2 linked regions of the Stegostoma tigrinum genome follow. The protein of the gene in region 1 interacts with the protein of each later gene in a biochemical or structural test. Links are inferred from orthologs where the notes say so. Each region holds a gene or a part of one and is shown in the gene's direction. Other genes may lie near its edges.

Evidence for each region.
Region 2: the proteins of flt1 (region 1) and vascular endothelial growth factor A-like are reported together in a solved structure, tested with the Homo sapiens proteins (2 studies listed by BioGRID and IntAct, with this or other methods). The link is inferred for Stegostoma tigrinum from reciprocal best matches to the Homo sapiens genes FLT1 and PGF.

What each region holds. Positions count from the first base shown.
Region 1 is NC_081359.1:79,184,112-79,192,688, reverse strand, and holds the start of flt1 (vascular endothelial growth factor receptor 1), read left to right. Parts: upstream 1-4,884; 5' UTR 4,885-5,239; coding exon 5,240-5,300; intron 5,301-5,850; exon of another isoform or gene 5,851-6,027; intron 6,028-8,577. UniProt on the Homo sapiens protein: Tyrosine-protein kinase that acts as a cell-surface receptor for VEGFA, VEGFB and PGF, and plays an essential role in the development of embryonic vasculature, the regulation of angiogenesis, cell survival, cell migration, macrophage function, chemotaxis, and cancer cell invasion.
Region 2 is NC_081392.1:9,087,709-9,095,708, forward strand, and holds the start of vascular endothelial growth factor A-like, read left to right. Parts: upstream 1-4,207; 5' UTR 4,208-4,493; intron 4,494-5,412; 5' UTR 5,413-5,529; coding exon 5,530-5,595; intron 5,596-8,000. UniProt on the Homo sapiens protein: Growth factor active in angiogenesis and endothelial cell growth, stimulating their proliferation and migration. It binds to the receptor FLT1/VEGFR-1. Isoform PlGF-2 binds NRP1/neuropilin-1 and NRP2/neuropilin-2 in a heparin-dependent manner.

The sequences.
Region 1 (8,577 bases):
AGAAAAATTACTGAAGAAACTCATCAGACTAAAATCAAAATGCCTGTGACTGATTGCTCACATCCTACATTTTGAAAACAAATAGCTAGAGAGATAATGGATGCTCTGGCAATGATTTTCCAAAATTCCCAAGTCTCTGGAGTAGTCCTAGTGGTATAATTAAGAAAGTCTTAACAATGCATCTTTAAAAAGCATTGTTTGATTTAAATAAGTTTAAGAAAAAGAGCACTATGTATCAGAAGCAGTTCTGAGGAAGGGTCACCAGAGCAGAAACATTAACTCTGATTTCTGTTCACAGATGCTGCCGGACCTGCTGAGCTTCTCCAGCAAATTCTGTTATCGTTTCTAACTTACAGCATCTGCGTTCTTTTGGATTTTTTTTAAGGACTGCAAATGTTGGAAATCAGAAACACAAACAGAAGAAATGCTAACTGTGCTCTCTCCACAGATGCTGCCATACCTACTGAGTTTTCCCAGCAACTTCTGTTTATGTTTGAGAATAAGCCAACTGGTTTTATAAAAGAAAAATAATGTTTTACTGACTTATTACTTTTTGAGAATGTAAGTATATGGGGACCAGTTCATGTAGTATATTTGAATTTCCATATGGCATTCAATGAGGTGTCCCATAAAAAGATAATGTACAAGAGCTCATAGAGATAGGTGTTACATATTAAAATGTCTTGCTTAATTGTGCCAGGCTTTAGTGAGACCACATATTTCCGAGTCAGAATGGTGAGTGGCTTGGAGGGGAACTTGTAAGTAATGGTGTTCCTATGTATCTGCTGTCCTTTTACTTCTAGACAGAACTGATCTTGGGTCTGGAAGGTGTCGTCTAAATAATGCTTAACAATGTAGAGATTGAATGGTTGTTTCTCCTGGTTGGGGAGTCCAGAGCAAGAGGACACAATTTCAGAGGAAAGAGTGGACTGTTTAGGATTTAGATAAGGACAAATGTCTTTATTCAAATGGTTATGAATCTTTGGAATCCTCTCTCCCAGAGCGTTGTAAATGTACCATCATTGAATATATTTAAGATTCAGATAGATTTCTTTTGCCTCACAGGAAATCAAGGAGTATGAGGGGAAGTTGAAGCTGCAAGATCAGCCGCGAACTTATTGAGTGGCAGAGCAGCTACAGGGGACTACTTGGGCTTCTCCTGCTCCTTATTTTTCATTCTTTCAGGGAATGTGGACATCACCACCCAGGTCAGCATTCATTTATTGCCCATCCCAAATGGCTTTGAAGAAGGCGCTGGTGAACCACTTTCTTGAATTGCTGCAGTCCACGATCTGTAGGCACATCTAAAGTTAGCCCAGTAAAAGAGGAGAGATGGTGGTACATTTCCATCTCAGGATGTGGTGTGACTTGGATGGGAACATGCAGGTGGTGGTTTTCCCATGCATCTTCTGCCCTTGTCCTTGCAATTGCTAGAGGTTGGTGGTTAAAATGTGCTGTCAAATGAAGCTTGGTGAGTTACAGAAGTGTATCATGGAGTTGGTACACACTACCACAATTAGGCATCAGTAGTGAGCGAGTGAATGTTAAAAGCGATGGATGGAATACCAATCAAGCGGGCTGCTGTGTGCTGGATGCTTTCAAGCTTCTTGAGTGTTCTAGAGTCTAGCAAGTGGACAGTGTTCCACCACATCCTTACATTTGCCTTTTTGATGGTAGAAAGGCATTGGGAAAACATAGAAACAAAGAAAATAGTAGCAGATGTTGTGCATTCAGTCCTTCAAACCTATTCTACCATTCAATATAATCATTGCTGTTCATCCATCCCAGTATGCTGTTTCCACTTTCCCACATTCCCTTTGATTCCTTTAGCCCTAAGTGCCATGTCTAACTCCTTGAAAACACTTTTTTTGTTTCAACCACTTCCTATGCCAGAGAAATCCACTGGCTCACCACTCCCTGGGTGAAGAAATTTCTTGTTATCTCAGTCCTAAATGAGTAGTTCATATTTTTAGACTATAAGCCCAGCATCTGGAATTCCTGGTCATCAGGAACATCCTCTCTACTGTTTATCATCTCTAGTTGTGTTTGAATTTTATAGGGTTTCTATGAAATCCAGCTCCCCCCACCATTTTTCTAAACTTCTGTGAATATTGTCTTTGTTCATGCATGAGGTCTTCAATCCTGGCAATCCGTCAGGTAAGCCTTTGTTGAACTTCCTCCATAGCCAGAACATCCTTCTTCAGATAAGGAGACCAAAGTTACACACAGTGCACCAGATGTGGTCTTACTAAGGCCCTGTACAATTGCAACAAGATATCCATGCTCTTGTATTTGAATCCTCTTGCAATGAAGACCAACATACCATCGATGCTGCCTACCACACGTGCATGCTTACTTTCAGTGACTGGTGTACAAGGACGTCCAAGTCTTCATTGATATCCCCTTTTGCCAATGCATTGCCATTCAGATATCAGTCTGCTTCCCTGGTTTTACTACCATGGTGTACAACCTCACACTTGTCTATATTATACTTCACTTGCCACATATTTATCCACTCACTCAACTTGTCCAAATCACACTGAAACATCTTGGTGTCCTTCTCACAGCCCACCCTCCCACCCAGCTATGTGTAGTCTACAAACTTGGAGATTTTACATTTAGTTCCCTCATTTAAATCATTAATATATGGTGTTAATAGCTGGGAACCAAGCATAGATTCCTATAGTATCAGACTTGGCATTGCGTGCTGTTTGGAAAAAAGATCCTTTTTTCCCTACTCTTTCCCCCCCCCCCCCCCCACCGCGGCGTGTTGTAAAGCAGGACCACCAAAGTGGGTCTGACACAAGCAGTTAATGTGAATAAAAATGAGCTCCTGTGTGTCACTTGAGGCTTCCCACGGCTGTCTCCCCCGTCAACTTCCCCCCCCCCACCAAAACACACACACAGGCACACACGCCACGCACCCCCGTTTCCAAAACTGGCCAAAACATCAGACAGTTTGTTACCCACACTTAAAACATTGAGAGCTTCCCCAATTTCAGAAATAAGCGATTCCCACCAGACTGCCATTCACTGCAACCAGCATTGCCCACGACTCAAGATTATGCACCAAATCCCTGCATTTGGCATACATATATGCTTTTTTTTGTCCAATGCACCAACAGTTGGATGAGCATTTGACTAAACACTGTGCGATGAGTCACTGTTTCTAACTTGATGTCGTGATAGATGTCACGGTGGGAGTAGAATGCAGCTCTACGCCCGAAACGTCAACTTTCCTGCTCCTCTGATGTCGCCTGGCCTGCTGTGCTCCTCCAGCTCCACACTGTGTTATCTATTATTTGCAACATATTTGCCCAAGCCTGGATGTGATCCAGGTTTTCCTGCATGTGGACATCCAGTCTGCTTCCTTCTTGGAGGCTAAATGTTGTGCAGTCACACATCACTTCTTTTGATTTTATGACCACCTATTTAATGTTCTTAAAGTTCTGACGGTGAACCCCAGCAAAATCTAGACCCAATTTAAAGCAAATGACAGATGGCCCCAGCGTTCAATGTGCCTGGTTGCGTATTTTTTTGCGCAGTATCACAGGCTCCATGTGATGTCCAGCTCGATATCCCATCAGCGCGGGAAAGGCAAGGGCGGGCATCATTTCAGTCACGCACTGAGAGTGTGTTCTGGGGAAAGCAAAACAGGCTCAGCTTTTCGTGGCAAGATCCTTAAAAGTGTCTTTTCTACTTTGGTTTGCATTAGCACAAGGCCAGTCCACTGGGTTAAAGGCTTATTCTGAACAGAAAACACGCTTTGTAAAAATGTGTCACGTCGGATTCAGCTTTTGATTATTTGAGCGTTAGATGTCCGATATGTGCAGCTACTTCCTCAAGACCTCCCATCCCCATTTGTGTAATGTTTAAATGCTTCTCAACACGCAAATAAGGTTGTTTCCTTCCTGCCAACCGTGAGAATGGCCAAAGTTCCGACAGGAAAATCAAGCACATGAGGAAACACACAACAAAACGTGTCCATTACCTCTTCAAATCGAATTTACATTCTACTCCCACCGTGACATCTATCACGACATCAAGTTAGAAACAGTGACTCATCGCACAGCGTTTAGTCAAATGCTCATCCAACTGTTGGTGCATTGGACAAAAAAAAGCATATATGTATGCCAAATGCAGGGATTTGGTGCATAATCTTGAGTCGTGGGCAATGCTAGTTGCAGTGAATGGCAGTCTGGTGGGAATCGCTTATTTCTGGAATTGGGGAAGCTCTCAATGTTTTAAGTGTGGGTAACAAACTGTCTGATGTTTTGGCCAGTTTTGGAAACGGGGGTGCGTGGCGTGTGTGCCTGTGTGTGTGTTTTGGTGGGGGGGGGAAGTTGACGGGGGAGACAGCCGTGGGAAGCCTCAAGTGACATACAGGAGCTCATTTTTATTCACATTAACTGCTTGTGTCAGACCCACTTTGGTGGTCCTGCTTTACAACACGCCGCGGTGGGGGGGGAGGGAGGGGGTTGATGATGGTTAGGAATTGGGGCGGAAGGGGAGCCGGACTGGTGGGTAGGGGTGGTAAATCAGAATAATGCCTCTGGTGTATCTCCCCCCCCCCGCCGCCGCTTATGAAACGGTTCTATTTTGATTTATTCAACGAGAAAGCTATAAAATATTCCTGTAATAATGGCCGCTGTTTTCTGTGAATTGAGAATATAATTGCCTAGCAATACCAACCTTCAGAACAGCTAAGCGATTTCCGCAGTTTGTAACGTTTCCAAGCTGGCTGACTAATTTGAAATTAATTCATACTGAGAGAAATAGCAAACTGGCCGTGGACAGGACCACAGTCCAGATTCTGGAAGGCAATTTGTCTGCCAAGATTCCTGTCGACGTCACTAGGGTGTAACATTTCCGAGGCGAGTTCACGGGAGTGGTATAAAAGCATGGGCCACCGAATACAAAGTAGAAATGACCGGAGTGTAGTCTATCTGAATTGTACTGGATACATTATTCACGGCCTGAGATTTGTTAATACCATCGGTGATTTGTGAAATTTGTGCTGGTTTACCAGAGCTGACCTGAAGGGCACAACTTTAGTGAAGTCGGGCAGTGTTGGTACTGGACATAGAGAGGGCTTCACACTGGAGCTGTGTGTGTGACAACATTGGGCTGACATAGAGAACCGATACATTTTTAACCTTTGGAGGAAAGCCGTCTTCATTGACTGAAGCGTTCATCATAACAGCGTTGAACAGGAACGCGGCACTTGCTTCACTTCAAGATGTCTTTCGTTTTAATAGCATTTGTGCTCTATAATCAGATTGAAAATATAGCTACAGCGCGTAAGTAATATTCGATTTTACACATTCTACAAATTCTAAAAACCATGGCAATTGTAAAGAGAAAGAAGAAATGTAGTTTCTTCTGGTGTATTGCAAATCGACTGTCTTGTCTTCCGGCGCTTTTACCAAATGTTTAACCAACTGTTCTTTATTGAAAAGATCCATTCTGATTCATACCAGTTACAGAGAACTGATTGCCTCATCCTTAGCGGGATGCCCCCGCGGTTTCCCGCGAACCATCACTTGATGGAAGTGAAGGCTCTCAGTGTTAGAGGTGTGAGTATCCTCCTCCTGGAAAAGGGACCAGTTAGCGACATGATGGTCGACCAGCTTTGGAATGACGAACGAGCTACTCTGGGGAAAGACAGTAGCTTTATTTAAAGAAAAATCTGTTAGTGGATTGTATCGAAAAAAGGTAACGGTTATAATAACGATGAAATAAACGAGTGCAGTAGGTGCCCTTCATCTCCCAGTAATCCATTCTGAATTCTGAATTAAATTTTCTCAGCGGTTGTGCGCGAACAGAGACAAATCCCACATCTTGCGCGACGTTACTGGTGCAGTACCTGAGCTAAAACAAACCACTCCTGGTTATTGCGGAGCAACGAAAGGACAGTGGGTGTGATTTTGAAAATAACGTCAGACAGTGCAGTGATTCAGGTCTGCTGTTCTCGAATTCCCTGGTGGGGAACCCATAGCACCTTCTCTCGACTCTCATCACCTCCAGGTTCGCTGTCTACGTTTTTAAAAGGTCGTGCGTTGATTTGAGATTCCAGTAGAGGCAGTACTTCCAGGTTTTTTTTCTCTCCTGACTGTTTTAATCAATCATAGACAACAAGGTGTCGAGCTGGATGAACTCAGCGGACCAAGCAGCATCACAGGAGCAGGAAAGCTGACGTTTCGGGCCTAGAATCTTCTTCAGAAGGCTTCTGGTTAGAGTTAGGGTCATTTCTGAAGAAGGGTCTACGCCCGAAAAGTCAGCCTTCCGGCTCCTCTGATGCTGCTTGGCCTGCTGTGTTCATCCAACTGTACACCTTGTTACTTCAGATTCTCCAGCATCTGCAGTTACTACTATCTCTGTTTTAATCAACCCCTTGCGCTGTGAATTGTGACATCGCGAATGGAACACAGTCGCCCGGTTTTTGGGGAAGGTGGACAGCTACATTGGTTTGCACACGGAGCTCCGACGTTCTGAAAGTGAGATTGCAGATAAAGCGGAGCTCACACCCTTGTAATTCGACAGTGTGGCAGATGAACTAATAATTCCTAATATCTAACACGAGCAATTGCTCACTTATAATTGCTTAATAGTGGGATTATTTTCGGTTAAGTACGCTATTTGTATCAGAAATTTAAGATAGACTTCACCAGTTGACGTTTCTAATGTAACGTAGAAACGAAATCAAAATACTCCAGTTGCTGGAAATCTGAAATGAAGACAGAAATGGAACAGACATGATGCCAGACTTGTTGAGTATTTTCACTTTTTTTAACTTGTCAGTAACATTACTGACCGAACAGACTATAGATTGGATGTAATTAGACATGTTCGCATTAAACCACAAACCTTCCGCATGGAGATTCCAGAGGGATTTGATGGGGGTTGGGGGTGGCCGCAGTTTTTGTTGCACTGTGGGTGGGTTGAAGAAGCGGCGCGGTTCTGCCCCGCACTACGGCTGGAGATGCTCAATAGCACGTCCTCACTCTGTCTTCACAGTCGTTTCAAACCCAACCTACCGCAGCTCCTTTTGTAGCTGTTGAACGCTCCGGCGCAGCTCAGGTAGTCCACATTGAGAGAACGCTCAGTGCATGACCCAAGGCGCGAAGTGGGTTGGAAATGGAATGAATGCAAGATTATCAGTTGACCCAGGTCATATTCGCATCAAACTAAAGTCTAAAAAGCAACAACCAATCATGATTTCAGCAGCTCTGTGACACCAATAAGCTGCATGCTTTATTAAGTGACAGTTTGAGTTGTAATACCTTTGTAGAATAATAATGTACAGGATTCATCAGTAATGTATAAAGTTTAAACTCCTCACAAACAAAAAATAGCACTTCAACACAGCGATCAATTCAGAATATGAAATCAGCAAATGTCTTTATCTTCAGCGCATCTTCCCGAATGATTTTATTTGGTTCAGACATGACAAGGAAGGAGGAGATGGGAAGCCATGGTATGGTATTAATACAATGGGACCAGTAATTCCAAAAATCCCCGCCAATGTTTAATTTCAGTTACGAGGAAAAATTCAACAAGTTGGAACTTTTTGAAGGGAAGGGCTGAGAGAAGATCTGATAGAACATTTGGAAATCATATACATGAAGACGAAATGCTTGGAGGGACATAGGCCGAGCGTAGACAAGTGGGACTAATTTAGTTTGGGTTTACGGCCAGAATGGACCGGTCCGTTTCCGGGCTTTATCGCTCTAAGAGCGGTTGGATAGTATAGATAAGGAGAAGCTGTTCCTTCTAGTAAAAGCTTCAAGAACTAGAGGGTGTAGATTTGAGAATTTAATGTGAGGAAGAACATTTTCACGCAGAGGGCGGTGGGAATCTGGAACTCACTGTTTGTAAGGGTGGTGCAGGCAGAAACCCTCATAACATTGAAATATCTAGATGCCAAGGCATTAAAGGCTATGGGCCAAGTGCTAGAAAATGAGATTAGAATAGTTAGGAGGGTGATTTTGACAGGTTCAGACTGTCAAAGGGCATTTTCCTGTGTTGTAAATCTCTGCGACTCTACCTTTTAAAGTGATTTGCAAAAGAGGCAAATGTGAACTGAGAAAAATCTGCCTGGATGTGTGTGGAATTGAATTCAATTTACGCATTCAAGATGGTATCGGATGATTGTTTGGATGTAAATAATTTGCAAGGTTAGGGAGAAGAAGCAAGAGATTGGGAGTAGGCAAAAAAACAAAAACGGCCATGCTGGAAATCTGAAGCAAAAACTGTTTTTGTTTGGAAAATCTCAGCAGGTCCGACAGCATTTGTGGAGAAAAATCAGAATTAACATTTCGGGTTCAGTGGCCCTTCTTTAGAACAGGCTCACTGAATCTGAAACATTAACTCAGATTTCTCGCCACAGATGCTGCCAGACCTGTTGAGATTTTCCAGCAATTTCTGTCTATGCCTCAGATTGGAGGTAACTGCATGTTGCTTGTTTGAAGTGCCAGTGCAGACACGATGGGCCGAACAGCCTCTTTCAGCACCTACTAATCCTGTCATTCTTCTGTAGAATGTGTTAATCCTAATCGCATCCATTTTATACTATTT
Region 2 (8,000 bases), on another chromosome or scaffold:
CCACAGCTGTGCACTCCGACTTTCCTCTGGTAACCCGTAAATCTTTCTCTTATCAATAATCCATCCACTCTGGATCTCCGTCTGAAATGGGTTAGCCCTTGTTTTGAAACAGTGATCCCTAACCCTGGGTGGACCCCACCAGGAGAAACATCCTTCCCACATCCACTTTGCGTGGGGGGTATGGGGCATCGGTTTCGGCCCTTAGCCTAAAGAGATCTTTGGCAAGTCATCACTCCCTAAATCAGTTAGCTCAATTGGTTGGAAGGCTGGCTCACAGCACGGTGCATTGGCAATAGCATGCGTTTGTTTCCCACACCAGCTGAGGTTATCACAAAGGACTCTCCTCAATCTCACCCGAGGTATGGTGACCTGGTTAAACCACCACCTGCTGTCTCTCTAAAGAGGAAGCAGCCCTATGGCCTGATTATCATCATTGATGGTCCCTCACAGACAAGGATGACTCACTACCCCTCTCAGGGTGAGTCTGTAGGCAGCCGTACAGACTGAGGGGGCTACCGCAGGGCTCTGTTACCCTTGGGGCAGAAGGTGGGCACAGGAAGGAGTGAGCAGGGCGTAGGTGTGGCAGCGCGCCCCTTTCCCTGTTTTCCACCCAGCTTCCACTTTCTCCCGACAGTGAGTCTCCAGGAGCTCGGCAACTTCCTGGATGCTCCTCCTCCTCCACTTTGGATCGTCTTGGGACCGATGATTCCCAGGTGCCTGTAGGAATGTTGCACTTCCCCAGTGAGGCCTTGAGGAGGATCACTGAAACACTTCCTCTGTCCCCCTGGGGCCGGCCTGCTGTTTCAGAGCTGGGGGTAGGGCAGCTGCTCAGGGAGTCTCCTGTCGGACACATGGACAGTGTACCCAGCCCATCGCAGCCGGTCAAGGAGGGGGGAGGTCAGGGCCTCAATGCTGGGGTCAAGTCCCACCACCTCCAGAGATGAGTTATAACATCCGGGCTCAGGGTGGCTGGGAAATATCCAAATGCATCTCTGTGACCTTCGGCACTTTTGTCCCTGGGTGCTGTGTGTTAGGTCACCGCAACATTAACTCTGATTTTTTTCTTCACAGATGCTGCCAGACCCACAGAGCTTTTCCAGCAACTTCTGTTTTTGCTTACAGCATCTGCAGTCGTTTTAGTTTTTGTTGTGTGTTAGCGCCTGGCCAAAGACACTGGAGTTGGAGCATCGTTCCTCCCAGCAGATTTGCTGGATCTTGTGTGAGCAGCATTGGTGGGGCTGCTCCAGTGCATTGTGGTGTCTGCTATAGACAGTCTAGATTAGATTCCCTACAGTGTGGAAACAGGCCCTTCGGCCCAACAAGTCCACACTGCCCCTTAGAACATCCCATCCATCCCCCTGTAACCCACACACCCCTGAACACTACGGGACAATTTAGCCTGGCCAATCCACCTAGCCTGCACATCTTTGGGCTGTGGCAGGAAACCAGGGCACCCGGAGGAAACTCACGCAGACACGGAGAATGTGCAAACTCTGGACAGACAGTCACCCAAGGCTGGGTTCGAACCTGGCGCTGTGAGGCTGCAGTGCTAACCACTGAGCCACCGTGCCGCACTAGTGACAGTATGTGTGACTGTGAGAGTGTTTGTGTCTGTGAGTGCATGTGTGTCTGTGAGAGTGTTTATGTGTGACTGTAGGAGTGTGTGTATGTGTCTCTGTCTGTATATGTGCGTGTGTGTGCGTGTCTGTGGAGTTTGTGTGTGACTGTGAGAGTGCTTGTATGCGACTGTGAGAGTTTGTATGTGCCTGTGAGAGTTTGTATATGTGTCTATGTGTATGTGACTGTGAGAGAGTTTCTGTGTGACTGCGAGAGTGCTTGTATGTGACTGTGAGAGTGTTTGTATGTGTGTATGTGTGTGACTGTGAGAGAGTTTCTGTCTGGCTGTGAGAGTTTGTGTGTGCCTGTGACAGTGCTTTTGTGTGTGCGTGACTGTGAGAGTTTGTGTGTGCCTGTGAGTGCGTGTATGTGTCTGTGTGTGTAGTGGGGAGCCTACTGCCTTTCTGATTAAGACCTAGCCTAACTCTACAGTTGCCCAGGTGCCAGCCAACATGATCTGTTTGTTTTCACAGGCCCACATCATTGAATAACAAAACAGCAGGATTTGTTGCCCCCAGGGAGACACCAGAACTAAACAACAGGAAATCTAACCACCCGGTATCACTGATATCAAAGCTCAGGAGTCAAAATACACACTGCACCAGGCTAGTGGATTGCAAATGGTTGATCAGGGACAGCAGGGGAACATGGCAGTCTGCATTTACGATGCATTTTTCATGACCACCAGTCACCTCCCATGTTTCGCAGGTAGTGGAAGGCAAGCCAAATTACACACAGCAAGATCCCGCACTGAGGTAACAGCCAAATACTGTGCTGCCCTCTCTCAGCAACAATTTGCATTTCTAGAGACGGGTCACACAAGTGTTAACACTCGACACTGGGCTGCAAAAGTGCAGACGTCCAAAGATCAAAGAGATGCATTTGGATATTTCATAATCAACCTGAGCACAGACGTTACGACACACCTCTGGAGCTTTTGGGACTTGAACACTGCCTCCTGGCTCAGAGGAAGGGACACTACTACCATGCCACAAGAATCCTCAAGGAAATGTCATTTTTAATCAACAGATTATGACACATCTCCAGGACAGGGGGGAATTTGAACCCAGATCTTCTGGACCAGAGATAGGGACACTAACAGTGCCACAAAAGCCCTCAAGAGGTGGATTTGGAGGAGCTAGAGGGAGTGGCGGAGACGTTGAGGGATTTGGATTTCAGAGTTCAGGGATCTCAGGCAGCCGAAGGCAGAGTGAAGGAAACAGAGATGAGCAAAGAGGCCAGAATTAGAGGAATGCAGAGATCTCAGAGGGCTGTAGGTCACAGAGATAGAGAGGGGCGAGGCCACACAGAGGCGATAAGCATCCTCTCTACAATGTGGAATGCAGGGCTGTCATGGCATGAGAGGAATTTGAAAAACAAAATTCCCTGAGTTTAGGTGTGAGACAGCTCAGTCTCTGTGGATAATGGGGCCAGGCATTCAAACTGCTGATGTGACATTCTGGGACCCAGGCTGAATGCGAAGTGCCTCAGGGCAGTGTTCAGGCCAGAACTTTATGTAAGTCTGGCTGTTCCAGATGACTCCCCACCCCATCTCCAGGGTCCTACTGCCTCTTCCTTCTGGATCATCATTTTCCTATTCCCTTTCTCCAGCTGTCTCTCTCCTCTTCCTCCTGTACTCCCCCTTCCCCATTCCTTCTTCCCACATCGTTGCTCCTCAGATTGCTCCTAATTAGCTGCAGGGATTCAGGAGGAGTGAGTGGAGGTGGGGTTCAATGAGGAGAAGGGGCTTCAGTGCAAAATTGTGGTGGGGTGGCGTAGTTCAAAGGGGGAAGGACTCAGCAAGTGAGGGGGGAGAGGGGTTTCAGTGGGGGGGCTGGGGTCAGTAGGGAGGGAAGATGGGTTTCAGTGGGGGGGTGGGGTCAGTAGGGAGGGGAGAGGGGTTTCAGAAGGAGACAGAGGTCTGTGGGGTGGGGGAAGAGGGGTTTTGGGGGGTCTGTGGAGGAGGGGCAGAGGGGTTTTAGAGGGAGATGGGGGGTCAGTGCGGTGGGGGAGAGTGGTTTTAAAAGGGAGGGGGGTCAGTGGGGAAGGGGGAGTTCAGTGGGAGAGAGTTTAGTGGGGAAGGGGATGCGGGGGGAAGAGAGGCACCTCATTGGGGGAGGGGAGAAGGAGTATGGGGGAGTTCAGTGGGGGAGGAAGGGGCTTCAGTTGCGGGTAGAGGAGATTCACCGGAGGGGTAGGGAGATCGGACAGGCAATCAGTGGGGGAAAGGGGTTGACTGAAGGAGAAGGCAGGTTTGAGGGGTGAATGCAGCACTGGGGAGGTGGGGATTCACATGCGGGGGAAGGGGGAGGTCAGAAACTAAGCTTGGTTTAGAGGACAGGGAGCCCAATGAAGAGGGGAAGATGGCACTGGGTAATGAATAGTGCCCATTCAAGAAGCCGGTAAGAGCTCGATGGAACGAGTGGCCTCCTGTGAAATGGGTGGGAGGGACGGGGAAGGGAATCTGTTCTCTATCCCCAGGACAGGATCGGACTGTCAGGAGTCCGGATGGTTAAAGCAGTTATTTACCCTCTTGTGGAATGAATTGACACTTTCTGATGTAGACACACCCCCGGTGGTTCAGCCCATCCCCTCTCAACCTGGCCCCTCTGTACCGTGGACCCAGCTCTGAGCTCCCACTCTCCACACGCAGTCGCTTTGTTTTGACATGAAATTGGGATTTAAAATCCGGAATCTCTGGGGACTTCTGAGCTCCACTTTCACGCAGGGGATCGGGGACGAGCCGGGATCCCGTGACTCGGGGGCGCGCCTGGGACTTGGCTGTAAATGTGTAAAAGTTTGAAGTGAGAGGAAGCGCAGGGAGAGTGAGAGAGAGCGAGCCTGAGCTGAGGATTGACAGAGCCCCGTGTGCCCAGGTTAGTCACTCACTTAGTTGGCTCTCTCTGTCTGTCATTCACTCTGGTGCCGGCTCTAACTCTCTCTCGCGTTGTACAACATTGCACTCTGATGTCAATGTGCATGCCGGTTTGTCGATAATTAAATCAGGAGTTACTTCTCCCTGTTTATCGCCGGCTGAATCTGTCTGCCTCATCTTTCTGAATATGTGTGAATCTCTCCCTCTCTCACCACTCGAGTCTGTCTCTTTCCCCTTGTCTGTCTGTGTCTCTCATTCTGTTTGCATCCACGCCTCTGTCTTCCTTCCTTTTCTCTGACCCTTTGTCTGTATCTCAATCCTCTCTTTTTCCCTGTCTCTCTCTCTCTCTCTTTCTTTCCCTGTCTCTCTTGTGGCCACGATCTGTGCCCCCATCTCTCCACCCCCACCACCCTCTCTGTGCCCCCATCTCTCCACCCCCACCACCCTCTCTGTGCCCCCATCTCTCTGACCCCCACCACCCTCTCTGTGCCCCCACCTCTCCACCCCCACCACCCTCTCTGTGCCCCCATCTCTCTGACCCCCACCACCCTCTCTGTGCCCCCATCTCTCCACCCCACCCCCTCTGTGCCCCCATCTCTCTGACCCCCACCACCCACTCTGTGCCCCCATCTCTCTGACCCCCACCACCCTCTCTGTGCCCCCATCTCTCCACCCCACCCTCTCTGTGCCCCCATCTCTCCACCCCCACCCCCTCTGTGCCCCCATCTCTCTGACCCCCACCACCACCTCTGTGCCCCTTGCGTCTCTCTGTTCCTGTTTCTTTCCCTGTCTCTCTCTCTCTCTCTCTTTTCTCCACCTTTTCTTTGTGTATTTCTCTCTCTCTCTCTCTCTCTCTGAATCTCCCCTTACTTTTGTACCCTCACACACTCTCTGAAATCAATGTTTGGTTTTGTTCCCAGGACCTTGTCATAGGGGGCTTCAACTCCCCCCACCGAATTGTTGCCTTGTTCCCCACCTCCCCTTTGTATTGGGACATCACATTCCCTGTCGATGTGAGGCACTGGAGGCGTGTAGTCATGTGTTGGACCAGCGTTTTGTTCTATCCAGTAGCTGCTCTGCTGCTGTCCTTACCATTCTGTCAGGTACTGTACTGTGTGGAGATGTGGAGGGGGATTATACAGTCAGATTAATGACTCTTAAACCATAATTAAAGTGGGGGGGGGGTAAACACAGAGAGCGGAAACTCTGGGAATCTGGAAGAGAAAGGTTAAAGTTCTCTGTTCCTGACCAGGGGTTACACCACAACTATTAAGTGTTCTTTTCTCCCTAGAGATTTCTGACCAGACTTTTCTGAATTTCAATGGGTCCATGGTAAATGTGGACCACGACTCTCAGACCAAAAAAAAACCACCCAGTCTCTGACTCATTCCTGACTCATTTGTCTATCGATGTTGTGACTGATGGAGCCACTTATTTCATAATCCTACAGTATATGAGACCTAGTTATTATAAGTGAGCACCACAATGCACAATACAGCCTAGGCACTGGCCATTCAGCCCAATTGCTCCATGCTGTGTCCCTTCACACTGTCTTCAGTCTCCAATCTCCATCAACCTGTCCTGCTATTAGATTACATTAGATTCCCTACAGTGTGGGAATAGGCCCTTCGGCCCAACAAGTCCACACCGCCCACTGAAGCGTCCCACCCAGACCCATCCCCCTATAACCCACACACCTCTGAACACTACGGGCAATTTAGCATGGCCAATCCACCTAGCCTGCACATCTTTGGACTGTGGCAGGAAACCAGAGTACCCAGAGGAAACCCACGCAGACACGGGGAGAATGTGCAAACTCTACACAGACAGTCGCCCGAGGCTGGAACCCGGGTCCCTGGTGCTGTGAGGCTGCAGTGCTAACCACTGAGCCACCGTGCCACCCCAAAGTGTCTCCCTATCAAGGTCCTCCCTCCATACTTACACCTTCATATACATTTGAGGCTGAGGGATAAAGATGCTTGGTGTCAGAAATGAGTATGGGAAGTGAGCAGGAAGATAATTTTTTTTAAGAAGTACAATCATTCATTCAACAGATGTGAACTGCTTCCCTGGAGAAAGTGGTTCAGAGTCAACCACTGGAGGCAGACCCTCAATGCCTTTCAGAAAGGAGTTCCAGGATTTTGATCCAGCGGTTATGAAGGAAAGCATTACATTTCCAAGTCAGGATGGTGGGGAACTCTTGGAGTGGTGTTTCCATGTATCTGCAGGCCTTCTCCTTCTAGATGGCCAAGGTCACGTCCCTGAAAGATGCTGGCATTTTGATCAGTTGTTGCATTGCATCGGCAATGCAATGGCCTAGAGGTATTCTTACTGGACTATTAACCCAGAGACTCGGATAATATTCTGGGGACCTGGGTTGAATCCTGCAGAAGGTGGAATCTGAATTCAGTAGAAATCTGGAATGAAAAGTCTAATGATGACTGTGAATCTGTTGCCAATTGTTGGAAAAACCCACCTGGTTCACTCACGTCCTTTTTAAGGAAGGAAACTGTTATCCTTACCTGGTCTGGCTTACACGTGACTCCAGACTCTTGACTGCTTTGTGGGCAATAAATGCTGGCCTCATCCTGTGAATGAATTGAAAAAACAAATCTTGTAGATAGAGCTGTGACTGAGCGTCAGTGGTGGAGGGAGTGAATGTTGGTAGATATGGTGCCAATCAATCAGGCTGCTTTGTTCTGGATGGTGTCCAGCTTCTTCAGTGTTGTTGGAATTGCACTCATCCAGGCAAGTGGGGAGTATTCCATGACATTCCGGGCTTGTGCCTTAGATAGTGGTATGTTTGGGGAGTCAGGAGGTGAGCTACTTGCTGGAGGATTTCTAACCTATCCTTGTAGCCGCTGTATTTATAGATATTTTCTCATCAACCTGTTCAAATATGTTATGATACACCTCTAGAGCAGATAGGAATTGAATCTATGCCTCCTGGTTCAGAGGTAGGGACACTACCATGACACCACAAATTACCAGCTGCGGTATTTATAGTCCAGTTGAGATTCTGGTCAATAATTTGCAGGATGTTGATATTGAGGGACCTGGTGATGGAAATGCCCCTGAAAGTCACTGGGGTGAGGGTTAGTTTCTCTTAGATTCTTTCAGCTGAAGACTGAAGGTTGCAATGGATGGGGTTGAGGCTGACGATAAGCTGCGATCATATTGAATGGCACTCGGGATTGTATGGTCTACTCTTATTTCTTAGGTTGTATATTCTAACTACTCTCAAGGCAAAGAAACTTCTTCAGAAAATCATAGAACCCTATAGTGTGGAAGTAGGCCGTTCGGCTCTTCAAAGAGCATCCCTCCAAAACACCCCCCCCCCCCCCCCCACCCTAACCCTCCATTTCTCATGGCTAATCCACCTACCCTGCGTGTCTCTAGAAACTATGGGGCAGTTTAGGATGGCTGATCCCCCTAACCTGCACATCTTTGGGATGAAAGCAGAGCACCTGGAGGAAACCCACACAGACACGGGACGAACATGTAAACT